Lonchura striata: one gene and its partner. The protein of the gene in region 1 purifies or fractionates together with the protein of each later gene. This does not show direct contact. Links are inferred from orthologs where the notes say so. Each region holds a gene or a part of one and is shown in the gene's direction. Other genes may lie near its edges. The genes, in order: DERL1 and TMEM129.

Region 1 (7,469 bases):
TACCTAACTACAATTCTGTGGTGTACTTCAGTCAAACAAATGCCTGTGTGACTCAGTGAGAATAAAGAACTTTGACAAAGCAAAGGGTTCATTCACCGAAGGACTATAACAAACATGGGCCCAAACTTTTCTTTTTAGACAGATGGCATGAAATACATAGTATAATTTCTATAAAACAAACTGTCCAAAAAATTAAGGTCAAAACTAAAATTATATACGTTTTCATGCCAATACAGATAGCATTTAAGCCTTGAAATTTCTCCTTACCTGTATCAAAGCACTTAATGGAATAATCTGCCAAAGCCACAAGGAACTCTGTCTTTCTGCGAAGATTAAAGGCCAAAGCAGTGCAAGCCTGCATTGTTCTCTGAACAAGGTTGAACCTATTTAAAAATACACATTCTCATTGTGTTAGGAAACTTTGGTTCATTTAATGTCAAGTGAAGTAATAAATTAATTGGTTTCAATATATTTCACAGAGAGAAAAAAATAAAAGCAAAAGAAGGAAGGAAATAATATCTAATTATAGTAGATCTAAAAATGAGTGCTAGGATTTTAAAACACTAATAAAATGCTGAAAGTCTGGTTGATGCATTTCTGCATCAACCAGTAGACTAGGTCTAGTCTATTGTAACTCATTGACCTGTACTGGTCCAATAATAACTTCTGGTGGTAGTCCTTAAGTTCTAAGGCACCACTGCTCTTTTTACAGTTGCAAGCCTCTGATCTTTTTGAGCAGCTAAACTAATGAAATAACATATAGGGAGCCTACATGAGACAGTGGGTTGAGGTTTCGGCCCTGAGCAAACTATTACCTATTTCAAAATATTTAGTTAAAACCTGACCCATGGGAACCTGTTCAGGCAAGTTCCACACACCTGAATGGTACAGATGTCTCAGACAATTAAAAAGTCATAATAGAAATATTCTTACCTGTTCCCATTCAAGTCAAAAACATATATATTCCCTTGGCGGTCTCCAGCGAGGAGAGAATCCCCAGAACTGTCAAAAACCACATTCAGAAAATGTATTGTCTTTGAATGGTACCCCTGGACACTGTGAATTATGTTCACTATAACTCTGTAAAGAAAAACAACCAGCAAAACAACCATGCTTAGAATAATTTTATTACCATTTATATCTGCAAGACATAGAAACATTTTAATCCTATCTTAGGATTTTACAATTCCGATTTTCCATGTTCTATGAAAGATCTCCCATGAAACCCATGTGTTTCTATATGAAAAGTATGCTACAAAGGAAGTAATTCACTGGGCTGGAAGGTGGGTAGGAGATATGTAAAGCAGATGGGGGAAGTTCACCATTCACAATCCTTTCACGTGGTTTCTGATTGCCCAATTTCCATCATTAATGAATAACACTGATGTATCTGAAAGCCCAATTCAACCCTCAGGAAGGAACCTGGCTCATCATTACCACTGCAAAGAAACGTTCTAGAAAACTGAGAAGCTGTGCAGTACTGTAAGAAACCAGTCTGTTTAGATATGGGGAAAATCAGTTTTAATATCACTTCTTTTCACAGTCTTAGAAAGTATTTGGATTGTTTAGCCTGGAAAAGAGAAGGCTCTGAGGTGACCTAATTGTGGCCTTCCAGTACCTGAAAGGAGCCTACAAGAAAGGTGGAGACTTTTTACAAAGGCCTGGAATGGCATGACAAGGATGAATGGCTTCAAACTGCAAGAGAGTAGGTTTACATTTTACATTAGACATTAGGAAAAAATTGTTTACTGTGAGGGTGAGATAATCAGGCTCCCTAGAGAAGTTCTGGATACTCCATCCTTTGAAGTGCTCAAGGCCAGGCTGGATGGTGTTCTGAGCAGCCTGGTCCAGTGGAAGGTGTCCATGGCAGGGGGCTTGCAACTAGATGACCTTTGAGGCCCTTTCCACTCCAAACCATTCTACAATTCTATGAATAAAGCCTTTTTTATTACTATTCATCTGTGCTATTACAGAACAGAATTTTCTAGTTTTCCACTTCTATCCTTATAAGGTACTGTCCACACAAACAGAGCCAGATGCAGAAATGAGCTGTAAGAGGAAGGTTTTTCCAGGAAGCAGGACATCGAGATTTGGAAGATCTACTATTCCTGGATTTATTGCCTACCACTGAACAGCCCAATCATTTTGTATTATCACTTGGATGTGAATTCACAGTTAAACTAAACACCAAAAGTGTGCCAGATATTGGCAGGCTGATTAAAGACTGCAGAGCACTTGCAGAATGCTCTGACCATGGTTGCATGAGATGCTGATAGCTCTCTGAGGCACAGAATATGCTACTCAGAATGCTCTGACCATGGTTGCATGAGATGCTGATAGTTCTCTGAGACACATAACTATGGTGCAGACTAGAGATAAAACTAATTGTACCTCACTGTTAAGCCCATTGTTTTCTTCAACAAAAGGGCCATAAAAATGAAATCGGAAAGATAAAATATTTTAAAGTGTAATTGAAATCTAGTGATGTTTGTGTGGGATTATGACATTAAAGATCCTGACAAATTAGTATGACTTCTGCTTCTAAAACTACTCTGAAACACAAGTACTTATCCCTGCAGCTACAGCACCTCCCAAGACCTTCTCAACATCACTCTCTGCCTCTCAAAAGTTTCCCTGCACCTATACTAAGCCAGGAGAACAGAGTTAGGAGTTCACGGGGCCTCTGGGGACAGAGACCTCCAAAGCATCATTTGTGTCGCTGCTCTTCAGCTTAGACCAGGCAGTATTTACACAGCATACCACACTGCGATTAATCTCTTTGAATTCTCCATGGCATTTTATCCAATACGCCTAAACAACTAGGGTAAGTGTCCAGCCAAGCTGCGCAGCCTGAGCGCGGGGGTTTCACAGCCTCCTTGGGGACCTGCTCCGCCTTCAAGAGGGATCTCATTAATACATGGAAGTATCACAAAGGCGCTGCCAAGAGATCGGTGCCAGACTCTTTTCGGTGGTGCCCAGCGACAGGAGGAGGAGCAATGGCCTTAAACGAAAACACAAAAGTTTCACCTCAGCAGGAGGAAGAACTTCACGCTGAGGATGGCAGGGCACCAAAGAGGCTGCCCAGGGCGGTCGTGGAGTGTCCCTCTCTGGAGCCATTCCAAGCCCGCCTGGACGCGCTCCTATGGAAGCTGCTCTAGGTGACCCTGCCTTGGCAGATCTCCAGAGGCCCCATCCAACCGCAGTGATTCCGCCACTCCAGGGGAACGTGCTCCTTTCGTTATGTAACCGGGTACCCCGGGTGCCCCTTCCCCCGCCCGCAGAGGCTCGGGTGGGCCCGGGCCGGCCCTGCCCGCCCGCCCGCTCCTCTCGGGCAGCCGCTCCCCCCGGCCCGGCCCCGTTACCCCCGCGCTGCGGCCGCCGCCGCCCGGCGGGTCCAGATGGGCCCGCGCCGCCGCTCGCCCACATCGCAGCGCTCCATCCCCGCCCGGCGCCGCCGCTCCCGCGCTGCCAGCAGGGCTCCGCCCACGCTCCGCGCCGGGGGGGCGCCGCTCGCGTGGTACAGCCCGCTCCCGCTTCACCAATGGGGAAGAGCCGGAAGGGTGGCGAGTGCTCCCCCCCCAGACATCAGGGAATGGAACCGCTCCACCTGCGGCCTCGCGGGCTGCTGGGAGTTGTAGTTTCCCTCGCGGGCGTCGCGCAGCGACCTGGGTGGGGACGGGAGAGCGGAGCGCGGCCAGCGCCGGGCAATGCAGTAAAAACGCCGCGTCCTCGCAGGCAAGTGCGTTTATAACGCAGTGCAATAGGTCACTCATAACATGGTTTTTCAGGCTGGCGCAGGACTTGTTCCCGGTTCCCTCCTGTTGCCCCCGCATTACAAGCGCCTTGCGGGGAAGGGAAGCCGGCTGACCCCACGGCCCGCCGCCCTCCAGCGCCGGCTCGCTCCCGCTCCGCCCCCGGGCGGGACCCCCGCTGCCGGGGCGGGGCCGGAAGCAGCGGCGGCGGCTCGGCCGAATTCGGTGGCGCCACGTCTGGCTCGGGGCCCCCTCCGTGAGCGGGCGGCAGGAGTGGCTGAGTCCTCGTCTCGCCTCTTCTTTTCTTCAGCGGCCGGTTCGTGGCGAAGCCTGGGCGGCGGCCGGGCGCGGCTGCGACATGTCGGACCTGGGGGACTGGTTCCGAAGCATCCCTCTGATCACGCGCTACTGGTTCGCCGGCTCCATCGCGGTGCCGCTCGTGGGCAAGCTGGGCCTCGTCAGCCCCGTCAACCTTTTCCTCTGGCCTGACGCCTTCATCCACCGCTTCCAGGTAAGGGCCGCACTACCGCTCCCGGCGTGCCCCGCGGCGCCCGCACAGTAGCTCACTATGACACACTTCGCGCGCAGCCTTCTGGGAGTTGTAGTGTACAGCCGCACTGCGGGGCCTCGCTGGGGCTACGCGCGGGGCCGGCCGCTGCCCCGGTTCCGCGGCCGCGCTGGAGGCACCGTGCACCGAGACAGCGGCCGGGGGTGAGCAGAGCTCCGCTGGCGAGAGTGGAGCCGCCGTCCCGCTCAGCCTGTACGGGGCCTGCGGGCAGAACACCGAGCAAATCCGGGCCCAGGCCCAAGGGCCGCCACCGCGGGGACGGGCTGCGCGTCCCTGCCAGGCTGGCAGAAGGAGGGAGGCTGCCCTGGCAGCGCTGTTGTTCGTCTTGTGCCTCATTCTGGTGTGGTTTTTCCTGCAGTTTTTGTGGGAGTTGTTCTGGTGGGCACTGGCTGTTTTACCTAGGAGCTCTGTGGCTGTGGCTGCAGGTGACTTGCCCAGCTCTGTGTCTTCGTGTGGCTGTGACTTTGGGAGCTGCAACTTCGGGCAAATCTCCCAGACTGCAGCTGGCCCGGGAGGTTTTTTGGCAGAGCTACAAGAGAGACATGGAGCTCCTGGGGTGGGTACAGTGCGGGGTAACAAAGGTGATCAAGGAACTGGAGCATCTCTGGTGAGGAATGGCTGAGGGAGCTGGGCCTGCTCAGCCGCGAGGAGAGAGGACTGAGAGGAGACCTCGGCAGTTTCTGTAAGTGTCAGAAGATGGACAAATGCAAATGGGCAAAATCTGATGCACGGGAAGTTGCACCTGACCTGGGTGGCCATGCACTGGAACAGACTGACCAGGGAGGCTGTGAAATCTCCCTTGCTGGAGTTATTCAAGAACTGTCTGAGTGCAATCCTGTGTCATGTGCTCAAGAATGTCTGCTTGAGCAGGGAGGTTGGCTCAGATCACTCACTGTGGTCCTTTTTAATGTGAGGTATTCTGTGATTCTGTAACAAAGTGCATTTACACATTCTGGTTTGGAATTTGAAAAAGCTTCTCTTAGGGTCTGACAACTTCTATGCTTAGATGTGGTCCATGTAAACTAATAACTGATGCCCTGAGGTGTCAGACATGCAGTGGTTTTCCTTGCACTGTGATATTACAGGTTTAGTGTTGGGGAGAGCACTCATTGGAGGAGCTCAAAACAAAAGAAGATAAAAGATTCCAATTTTTAGATTTCTGTTATCTCGTCTCATTATATCTTCACTGAAGAAAGAAAAAAAATTAAAGCCATGACTCTCTATGTATCTTGATTCATGTATTATTAGTAGCATAAATGACTGGTTTTTCCTCTAGTTCTGTTATTCCTTCTTGAACTGTGATGTTCAAGATCCTAATACCCAGTTTGGAAATGTTGCTGCTTTAAGAGCTCATTCATGAATGACCAGACATTTTCTGTCCTTGCTACGTGCTGCCATGCAGTTGGTTATGCCCAGTATTCATAGCTGGGAACTGTCCCAGAGAAGATCCCATATGCTCAGAGTAGCATGTGCTGTCTGGAATGGTACACTAAAGGCTGTGAATTCTTTGGCCTCTGTTCAGCAGAGAAGAATAGATTTTGTGTGGCTGTTTTTTTAACATGGTAGCATCCTTGCCAGTGAATCTTTTTTGCACTGCATTAAAGAGTCACTACTGCAAAGATGTGATGGAAAGCAGTTGTGTGATATTTCTGGTGTAGTCTTAATAGCTTTGCTTACCAAATTGAAAAAAAACACCACAACTAGAAAAGCTGCTGAAGCAGGACCAATCGATACTTGGGCTATTTTTAATCTTCTTCTTGATGTTTCAAGTTTTCATTCATTATCAAGTAATGAATGTAAATAAAAAGCCTGGGAACATGAGTTCTTTCTGCAGTTTGTAAATAAAGCTTTCTCTTTTGATCTTGACAGATCTGGCGGCCGATAACAGCAACCTTCTTCTTCCCAGTGGGACCTGGAACGGGATTTCTCTACTTGGTGAATTTGTATTTCTTGTATCAATATTCATCACGACTAGAAACAGGTATGTTGACCATTACATGCCCCTGGTGAAGTCTGCCTGGAGCTGATAAGAGATGGCTCATCTCTGTGCCAGCTTATATTAGTCAACGTGAAACTGCTCTGAAAACTGATTTTCTGTGGCTGGATCCTTCCCTTTGGCCATTTTGGATCTGAACTTGATACTTGTTTCAGTAGGAGGGCCTGGTGTTTTTAGTTGCTGGATTTAAGGAAGTGAGACAGATTAAAAGATGATGTTTACCTCTGTGGTTTTGTAGCTGATGTTTTTTATCAGAGAAGGATAATAGAGCATAATGTAATAATGGGCTTATCCATTGGGAGAAAATAACTTTCAGTTTTTTCTTGTTTTAATAGGGATGCTTATTTGTGTTATTCTGTTGTCTGTGTTGAATTGAGAGATACCTCCCTCAGAGAAGGTCTACCCCTCTGCCTAACAGATATGTGGAAAAGTTAAGGGACTAGGAGGATTTTCAGTTAAGGGGAAAAATTAAGTGAAGAAAAGGAGATCAGATAATAGATCATTTCTCTCAAACAGAGGGATTGTTGGTACAAGGTATCTTCAAAACTGGCTTCCTTTTGAGCTGCTCAGTTCGTTAAACCTAGACCAAAATTGGTTTAATTTACATAAATAATTAATATATTTACAAATCCAGACTCCTCTTGAAAGTCTTTGTGAACAAGAATTTCAGTATATTTCTAATGGAGTCTTAGAACTGATGGTGTAAAGGGGAATGCATTGGAAGGTGATGTTGGGAAGTCCCACAAGAGAGAAGAGATCCCTGCCACCCAGAGAGTATTGTGGAATCACATTTAAATCTTAAGAAGAGCGGTAAGGGAAAGCAGGAGTGGTGCCAGATTGTATTTGGTTATTTTCTTAGTGAAAGATAAATACTAGTTTAATGGTTAGAAATGGTTTCCTTTTGAGATTTTCTGCAGTAGTTTATGAGTACATGAGAGTGGTGGCAGTTCTGACTGGGCAAAGGTAGGTGTAATAAGCGTTCCTGGTTAATTATGCCGAATAAAAGACCTCGCTGCTTGTAGATATACTTACAAAATGCTCTAGTTGTCTGTGCTGTGGCACAAATTCCATGAAAGAGAGTAAATTTCTGCTGTACATCAGATCTGGATTTTGAAACTGGGAAGTCATCTGTATTGTTTGAACCAATGCATTT
Region 2 (7,469 bases), on another chromosome or scaffold:
AAAAAAACCAAACCCAACCCCGCCTCAGTCCCTCTTTATGCCTGACTCATCCCAGGCTCCCCATCAACCCCACAGCATCCTAAAAACACAGAGATGCTCCCAAGATCTTCACCCCCACTTCAGTGGGGTGGAGCACCTGAGCTCCACCCTTGAGCTCCTGCCATTGCCCCCAAGTTCCTGCCTTCTCTTCAGCCTTAAATTGACAGAAATAGCCCCCAAATATCTTAATCTGAGGCTCACAGAAGTCCTAGACAAGGAGGTACCCCCGGTCCCACAGCATCCCAGGCGTGAATTTCGCAAAGGGGTCGTTAAACTCCCCAAGCACCCCAAGCTCGCTGAGGGGCCCTCAGCCAGCCCCCCCACCGAATTCAAACCACCCCAAGTCCAGAGGGGTCACCAAGCCTTCCCCCAAACTCACAGAGCAACCCCAGAGCTCCCCCGGCCCAGCATTCCAGGGTCACTGAAAGGTGCCCAAACCCTCCTCCAACCCCAGGCTCGCAGAGCGGCCCCCGAGCCTCCAATCTCACAAAGGGCCCCGGCACAGCCCCTCCCGGCCCACACTGCCTTACAGAGCCAGAACCTCCCCTCCCCCGGTCACAAAGGGCTCACCGAGCCTCCCGCCGCACCCAATCCCACAAAGGGGAACCTGAACACCCCAGCCCCACACCGCCTTACAGCGGGGTCCCCAAAGCCCCCCGTACCTGGCGGCGGGTCCCGGGACGAGCCCGAGGGGCGCTCGGCTGAGACGGCGCACGCAGCCCCCAGCGCCAACCGCAGCCCTGCGCCGCCGCCTCACGATTTCAAACCCAACGGAAGCCCCGGCCCGCCAATGAGGGACCGGCGTTCGGGGCGCGCCCGCCAATCAGGAGAGCGTCCTGCGGGAGGGGGCGGGGACAGCGCCACGCGTGACCGTTGCGCCCCGCGCAGTCAGCCCCCGCGCGGCAGAGCGGGCGGTGCAGGCGCGGCTCCGCCCGGACAAACTGCCCCGGCTGCGCGATGTCCCCGCGTCCCCACCACAGCCCCGGCGGCGCGATGTCCCCGTGTCCCCACGCACTGCCCCGGCGGCGCAATGTCCCCGTGTCCCCACCACAGCCCCGGCTGCGCGATGTCCCCGTGTCCCCACCACAGCCCCGCCGGCGCAATGTCCCCGTGTCCCCACCACAGCCCCGGCTGCGCAATGTCCCCGTGTCCCCACGCACTGCCCCGGCTGCGCAATGTCCCCGCGTCCCCACCACAGCCCCGGCTGCGCAATGTCCCCGTGTCCCCACCACAGCCCCGGCTGCGGAGGCTGCCCCACCCCCGGCAGCGTGGGGCTCTCAGCAACCTGGGCTAGTGGAGGGTGTCCTTGCCCATGACACCCTTATTGGAATGAGATGAGCTTTAAGGTACCTTCCAACCCAAACGTTTCTATATGATTCTACAGTCTCAGCTGTTCTGCTTCATGCTTTTGCATGAAATCACAGAAGGAAAACTTGATGCTTCAACAGGCCTTTTTTTATTACTGGACTTCACGCACATTTAAACAGTCCTTACTGTTGAGTCACCAGACAACAACAATGAAATTACTGTTAATAAAGTTGTTAACAAGGTTGTCTTTTAGAATGAAATAAGATGCACAGAATCTAAGCATGATTTTACTTATGTAACCATCCTCAAGAGTCATTAAACCACCATTAATTCCCGATCTCCACCACAGCAGCTGCACATCAGTCATCTGGCAGCGCTAGGATGTCACACTCCATGGGTGGTATCTACTATTGACTTGGTTTGCCATCATTAGTAGCATATAACATCACATAATGCTTTCTCTGCCATGTTTTTCCAGTTATACAATCTCGCCCTTCTCTAAAAGAGAGAAATGTGGACGTTTTGGGTTATAACAGGCTGCATGCAGTTTTCCTAGGTTCCCTAAGAAACAGGCTATTAGCTATTGTTTGTACTTCAATAGGAACAAGATATTCCAGTCAGGCCTCTCCCTCTACTGTGTCTGGGGGTGTACGAAGATACCTTGAAACATGCCTCCCTTTAGGGGATTTTGAGATGCTACATCCTTGTCTTACTAGAAAATATTAGAAAGCATTACATAAAATACACAAGGACAAGGAGAAGCAAAGAGAAGCTTTTCCCGACGCTTAAGTAAAACAGGCCATTCTCTGCTTCAGAAAGACGCTGCCCTCATCCAACAGAGGTCTTTTCCATGCATAAAGAACTGGAATCGGTTGCTTCTGCCAGGCCTGTGGAGCATGACCTCGAGGGCGGACAATGCCTGGGGCCGCGGGCAGGGGCTGCGCGTCCCGGCCGGGCTGGGCGGGCACGGGGTGCGGGCGAGGTCCGGCTCCGGCTGGAAAGGGAACGTGGCTCGGCGCTCGGGGCCGGGCAGGCGCGGAGGGGCGGAGGGGAGGGAGGAGATGGACGGAGGGGCGGAGGGGAGGGAGGAGATGGATGGAGGGGCGGGGACCATCCGTGCAGGGGGAGGCGGGTCCCGCCCGGGCGGCCCCGCCAGCCCGGCAGCGCCCGCGCCGCGCATCCGGGGGTGCGGCGGGAGCTGCCGCTGGAGCGGGGGGAGCTGCCGCTGGAGCATCCGGGGCTGCCGGGGAACTGCCGCTGGAGCATCCGGGGCTGCGGGGGAACTACCGCTGGAGCGGCGGGAAGCACCGCTCCCCGCTGGAGCATCCGGGGTGCGGCGGGAACTACCGCTCCCGGGGACCCCGGCGCCCCACGGGGCGCAGCATGGAGAGCCCCGCGGTGACCTTCACGCTGGCCTACCTGGTGTTCGCCGTGTGCTTCGTGTTCCCGCCCGACGAGGTGCGCTCGGCGGGGCTGACGGTGCAGAGCCTGCTGTCCGCCTGGCTGGGCAGCGAGGACGCGGCCTTCGTGCAGTACCACCTGCGGCGCAGCACCGGCACGCTGCTGGCGCACTCCCTGCTGCCCCTCGGTGAGTCGCGCTCGGCTCCCCTGGAGTGAGCACCCCGAGCGCGGTAACCAGCGGGCTGCACCGCAGCACACGCACTCACAAAGGAATTGCAGTTTAAGTACGGACTGGGGAGTGAGGGGCTGGAGGGCAGTGCCAGGGAAAGGGACCTGGGGCTCCTGGCCAGTGGAAAGTGGAAGCTGAGCCAGCAGTGCCCCGGCAGCCAGGAGGGACATCCCTGTCCTGGGGCAGCAGGCCCAGCATGGCCAGCCCGGCAAGGGAGGGGATTGTCCCGCTCTGCTCGGGCTGGGCGGCCTCACCTCCAGTGCTGGGGCAGCTCTGGGGGCCACAATGTCAGAAAAACATTAAACTATCAGAGAGTTTCCAGAGGAGAGCAACAAAGATGGTGAAGGATCTTGAGGGAAGGTGTGTGAGGAGAGGCTGAGGGCACCTGGTCTGCTCAGCCTGGAGGAGACTGAGGGGAGACCTCAGTGCAGTTACAAATTCCTGAGAGGGGAAGAGGAGGGACAGACACTGATCTCTGCTCTGTGGTGACAGTGACAAGACCCAAGGAATGGCCTGAAGCAGTGTCAGGGGTGGTTTGTATTGGATATTAGAAAAAGGTTCTTCCCCCAGAGGGTGGCTGGGCACTGAACAGGCTCCCCAGGGGCTTGGTCACACCTGCCTGTTGGCGTTCAAGGAGTGTTTGGACAATGCTCTCATGCACATGGTGTTACTCTTGGGGTGTCCTGTGCAAGGCTGAGTGTTGGACTTGATAATCCTTGTGAGTCCCTTCCAGTGCATCATCTTCTGTGAGTCTGTGATTTAACAAAGGAATGCAAATTGGCTTCCTTTAGCCATATAAGTCTCCTAAAACTAAGTAGCATCTCACAGGTAATTTTATTCAACAACCAAATTCAGATCACTTTCCTTCAGGTATATAATTCTGGTAAAAATCATTGATACCTAAGAATTTAATTCAGCTTGCTTGCGACCAGAGGCTTGAATTTCAAGTCATCCAGAAATGCAATAATACCTCTTCTGGAGGTGAGCTCACTGGGTAGATAACCATATGATTCAGGGGTATCTGCTTTTACACGTACTTAATTGTTTTCTGAAAGTAAGTTTTTTTTTCCTTGCAGGTTATTACCTTGGTATGTGCTTTGCTGCACCTGAAAAACATCTTTGTTTTTTCTACCTGGCTTCAAAAGAGTGGAAAACTTTCTTCTTCTTCGCCGCTCTCCTCCCAGCAATCACCAGTGCCCTGGCATATTACTGGTCACGGAAAGGTTGGAATAATCATCCGCTAGCCCGGACACTCGCTGTTCACGCCCTCCCGCAGTCAGGCTGGAGGGCAGTAGCTTCTTCCATCAACACAGAATTTAGGAGAATTGACAAATTCGCTACCGGAGCGCCAGGAGCGAGGGTGATTGTTACGGACACGTGGGTGATTAAAGTGACCACCTACTGTTTACATGTTGCTCAGCAGCAGGACATTCACTTGACAGTGACAGACTCCAGACAGCACGAGCTCACGCCAGACTCCAACGTGCCTGTGCAGTTCCTCACCATCCGAGTTGCCAGCGTTAATCCCTACATCAAGGCATTCGATATCCGGTAAAACAACTGCTAAACCTGTTACGTTACATGTGTGCTGTTTGATGGTGCTGAGGGAGCATTTTTGTGACCAATCTGGAGATTCCCTGGTCTCATCCCTTCCTTTCTGGTCCCTGCCTGGTGTTCAGGGCTGCTGTATGTGCAGTTCTGCCATGAAGTGCAGGGAAGGTTGTTTGGAAAGCTTCATACACGTACAACACTGAATACACAACAGATAAACAAAGGGATTAGCCTCTTTGATCCATTCTTAGGGAGAGGATTGTGCTGGATGCAGAAAGAAGTAACTGGATAAAATTAGGTCAGAGATGGAGAAGAGGAATGAAAGGTAGAATTTTTGGTCTTCTAAATTTTGAGTGAGGAGAAATAGCTATTTGTCTAAAACTGTCTGTTGTTTGTCCACGACTTTGGATTTTAACTTGTGCTTAAGGGTCATAATATCATCGCTGCTCAGAAGTGCTCTCCCTGAGTGACTGCAAGCCAACTGCTCCTAAAACAAGGAAGAAATTTTGGTCCCTTTCTGACTTACGTGTTCTCATAGCAGTAGATCATAACAATTGTGAACTGTTAGGGCTCATTTTGCAAAGGCCTATGCTGTTTATCTCATTGGTCTCTGTGTAACCAGGCTAAAGTACAAGTTCAGCAGAAACCTCTGAGTAGAAGGGTTCTAAAGTCTTTGTTGTTGTGTTGTTAAAAGCCATCTTAGTGCTCCTAAAACTGTATTTGAAAAGGTGTCTTTTTGCTGTACATTTGTTTGTCAGGAGCATTTATTAGGTAATTAAAAGCATCCAGGTAGGTGTGCAAGTGAGACAAGCACAAGGAAAGCAAAGAGGTGATTATGGTAGAGATCCAGGTGAACAGAACTCAGAACAAGAGGTTGCTTAAGGTAAGCATGACAATACTAAGAAAAGAGACTCTTATAGACCTGTGACAGTGATGACCAAATTAGTATTAAACAACTAATGATTTTCTTCTGCAAGCACTTCAGTGCCAGAGTACACCCCAGCTGAGAAAATAATTACTTGTTTGGCAATTCCTTTTATGGAAAAAAAGTCCTAAGCCCAAACTATATTTTGTGACTAAGCAGAATAGCATCAAGAACAGTGTTTAAAAGCTGCTCTAATAAGATGTCTGTGATAGTTAATCTCTGTTAGAATGTAGCAGAATCATACAGGATCATTGTATATATCCAGAATCAGAATCAAATGCAGTGAGATATTTCTGGAGGAAAAATGCTTTTGTGCAGGTGGGCCACATTTCTCTGCATGTTCAGTGTGAATTATTCCTCTGGATATAAATGTTTCTGATTTGTATGGACAGCATCTGTTCAATGACATTATCCTGTAGCAGTAAAAACAATGGAGACCACCGAGAGCTAGAGCTAAGCCAGCCTTGCATTGTGCTGGGCTCTGGGAACTCGGACAGTGGTAGGAAAATTAGGGCAGTCTTCCAGGGACTTCATGAAAGCTGTTTAATGAGTGGAAGCATTGAGCTGGAGAGTTCTGACACTACAGTTCAGAACTCTTATGGTCAAAAGGGATGACAGCAGGGATGTATCACTGTAGGATCTGTGTGAGGTGTCAGGTGCCACTTGAGTGCTGTGGATATCACTTAAATTTAATTTACAGAAGCAGCTGGTGTGAAACACAGCTTGCTGCAGCCTTGAATCAGCAGTGGTTTGTGACCTTTGTGAAATTTCTGGGATTATGTTATGATACAGTCTAAAACTGTATTGTAAAACCACAGAACCTGATTGTCATTCCTCTACTACTTCTGTAGTACTGTATAACCTTGTGATGCCTGCTGCATGGTATAATTGCTCCTAACTAAATTCCTCAGGAGTTTATAATTGAGAATTTAGAAATTGTCTAAGTAAACAGGCATTAAAAAGGTGACAGAATGGTGCAAACAGCACTTTGCAGTTAATGTATGGTTTATATACCTATATTGCTTTTGTTCATACTGATTACTTCAAAAGCCTGTATTTCTGTATGATGTTTTAGCTGATTTCTGACATACCCTGCTGGCAATCTTACACAGATACGAATGAGGACAGCGTGTTCTGTTGACTAAGTTGTGCCAAAACCAGTAAGTAAACAGCAGAAGAAAACAAGAAAACAAATGCAATTCCGTGTATTTATTCTGACTAATAAGTACCAGCTTTTCTGTGGATTCACTTCAGTTAACCTCTGCAAGGTACTATCAAGGTATTTGGGTGGATAATCATGGTAACATTTTGCTCCATCTTCTCTTCTTCAGGTTGAACTCCACAGAGTATGGGGAGCTCCGGGAGAAGCTCCGTGCTCCTATCAGCAATGCAGCTAATGTTGTGATCCATCAAAGCCTTAGTGATTTATTTTTAGAAACCTTTACATCTCTGGTGGAAATAAACCAGACATACCATGTTCCAAGCACTCAGGTGAAACTTTCTATCCATGTGAGACTGTAACAATTGTACTTTCAAAATAGATGAGCCTGTGATTACTGTGTAAATGATAAATTTTTACCTAGGGCTATCTCCGGTGAATTATTAAGAGAATGTATTGTTGTGAGGTTAGCAAAAAGGTTTTATTAAAAATATGGATTAAATATCAAGTTATTATTAAATTATAATAATCATGTATTTACTGCTTAATAATCCTCATTTAATAATTAAGCAGTATTCAGTCAGTAATTAAATGGTAATTGAACAGCAGTTAAGCACCCTACTACTCGTTACACTTCTAATAATTCAGCTAGCTTGCATCCAATATGTTTTAGATCTAATATAAACTTACCTTACTTACTTACTGTAGGTAACAGATATCAAGTAAGGGATCTCTTGATCTCAGGAGATCCTTTGAGAGGTCTGCTGCCTACCTGAGGCTGCCCTACAGGAGAGCTCCATGGGCTTGGGGGCTGCAGTCACTTACTTAGAGAGTGGCTGATGGTTAAAGTGCCCCTT

What was found.
Region 2: the proteins of DERL1 (region 1) and TMEM129 purify together in Homo sapiens (affinity purification with western blotting; 3 studies listed by BioGRID). This does not show direct contact. The link is inferred for Lonchura striata from reciprocal best matches to the Homo sapiens genes DERL1 and TMEM129.

Annotation. Positions count from the first base shown.
Region 1 is NC_134603.1:12,681,787-12,689,255, forward strand, and holds the start of DERL1 (derlin-1), read left to right. Parts: upstream 1-3,918; 5' UTR 3,919-4,110; coding exon 4,111-4,263; intron 4,264-6,189; coding exon 6,190-6,301; intron 6,302-7,469. Other genes in the region: TBC1D31 (TBC1 domain family member 31), read right to left, coding at 268-383, 934-1,080, 3,363-3,439. UniProt on the Homo sapiens protein: Functional component of endoplasmic reticulum-associated degradation (ERAD) for misfolded lumenal proteins. Forms homotetramers which encircle a large channel traversing the endoplasmic reticulum (ER) membrane.
Region 2 is NC_134606.1:7,703,606-7,711,074, reverse strand, and holds the start of TMEM129 (E3 ubiquitin-protein ligase TM129), read left to right. Parts: upstream 1-2,540; 5' UTR 2,541-2,730; coding exon 2,731-2,935; intron 2,936-4,053; coding exon 4,054-4,528; intron 4,529-6,784; coding exon 6,785-6,944; intron 6,945-7,469.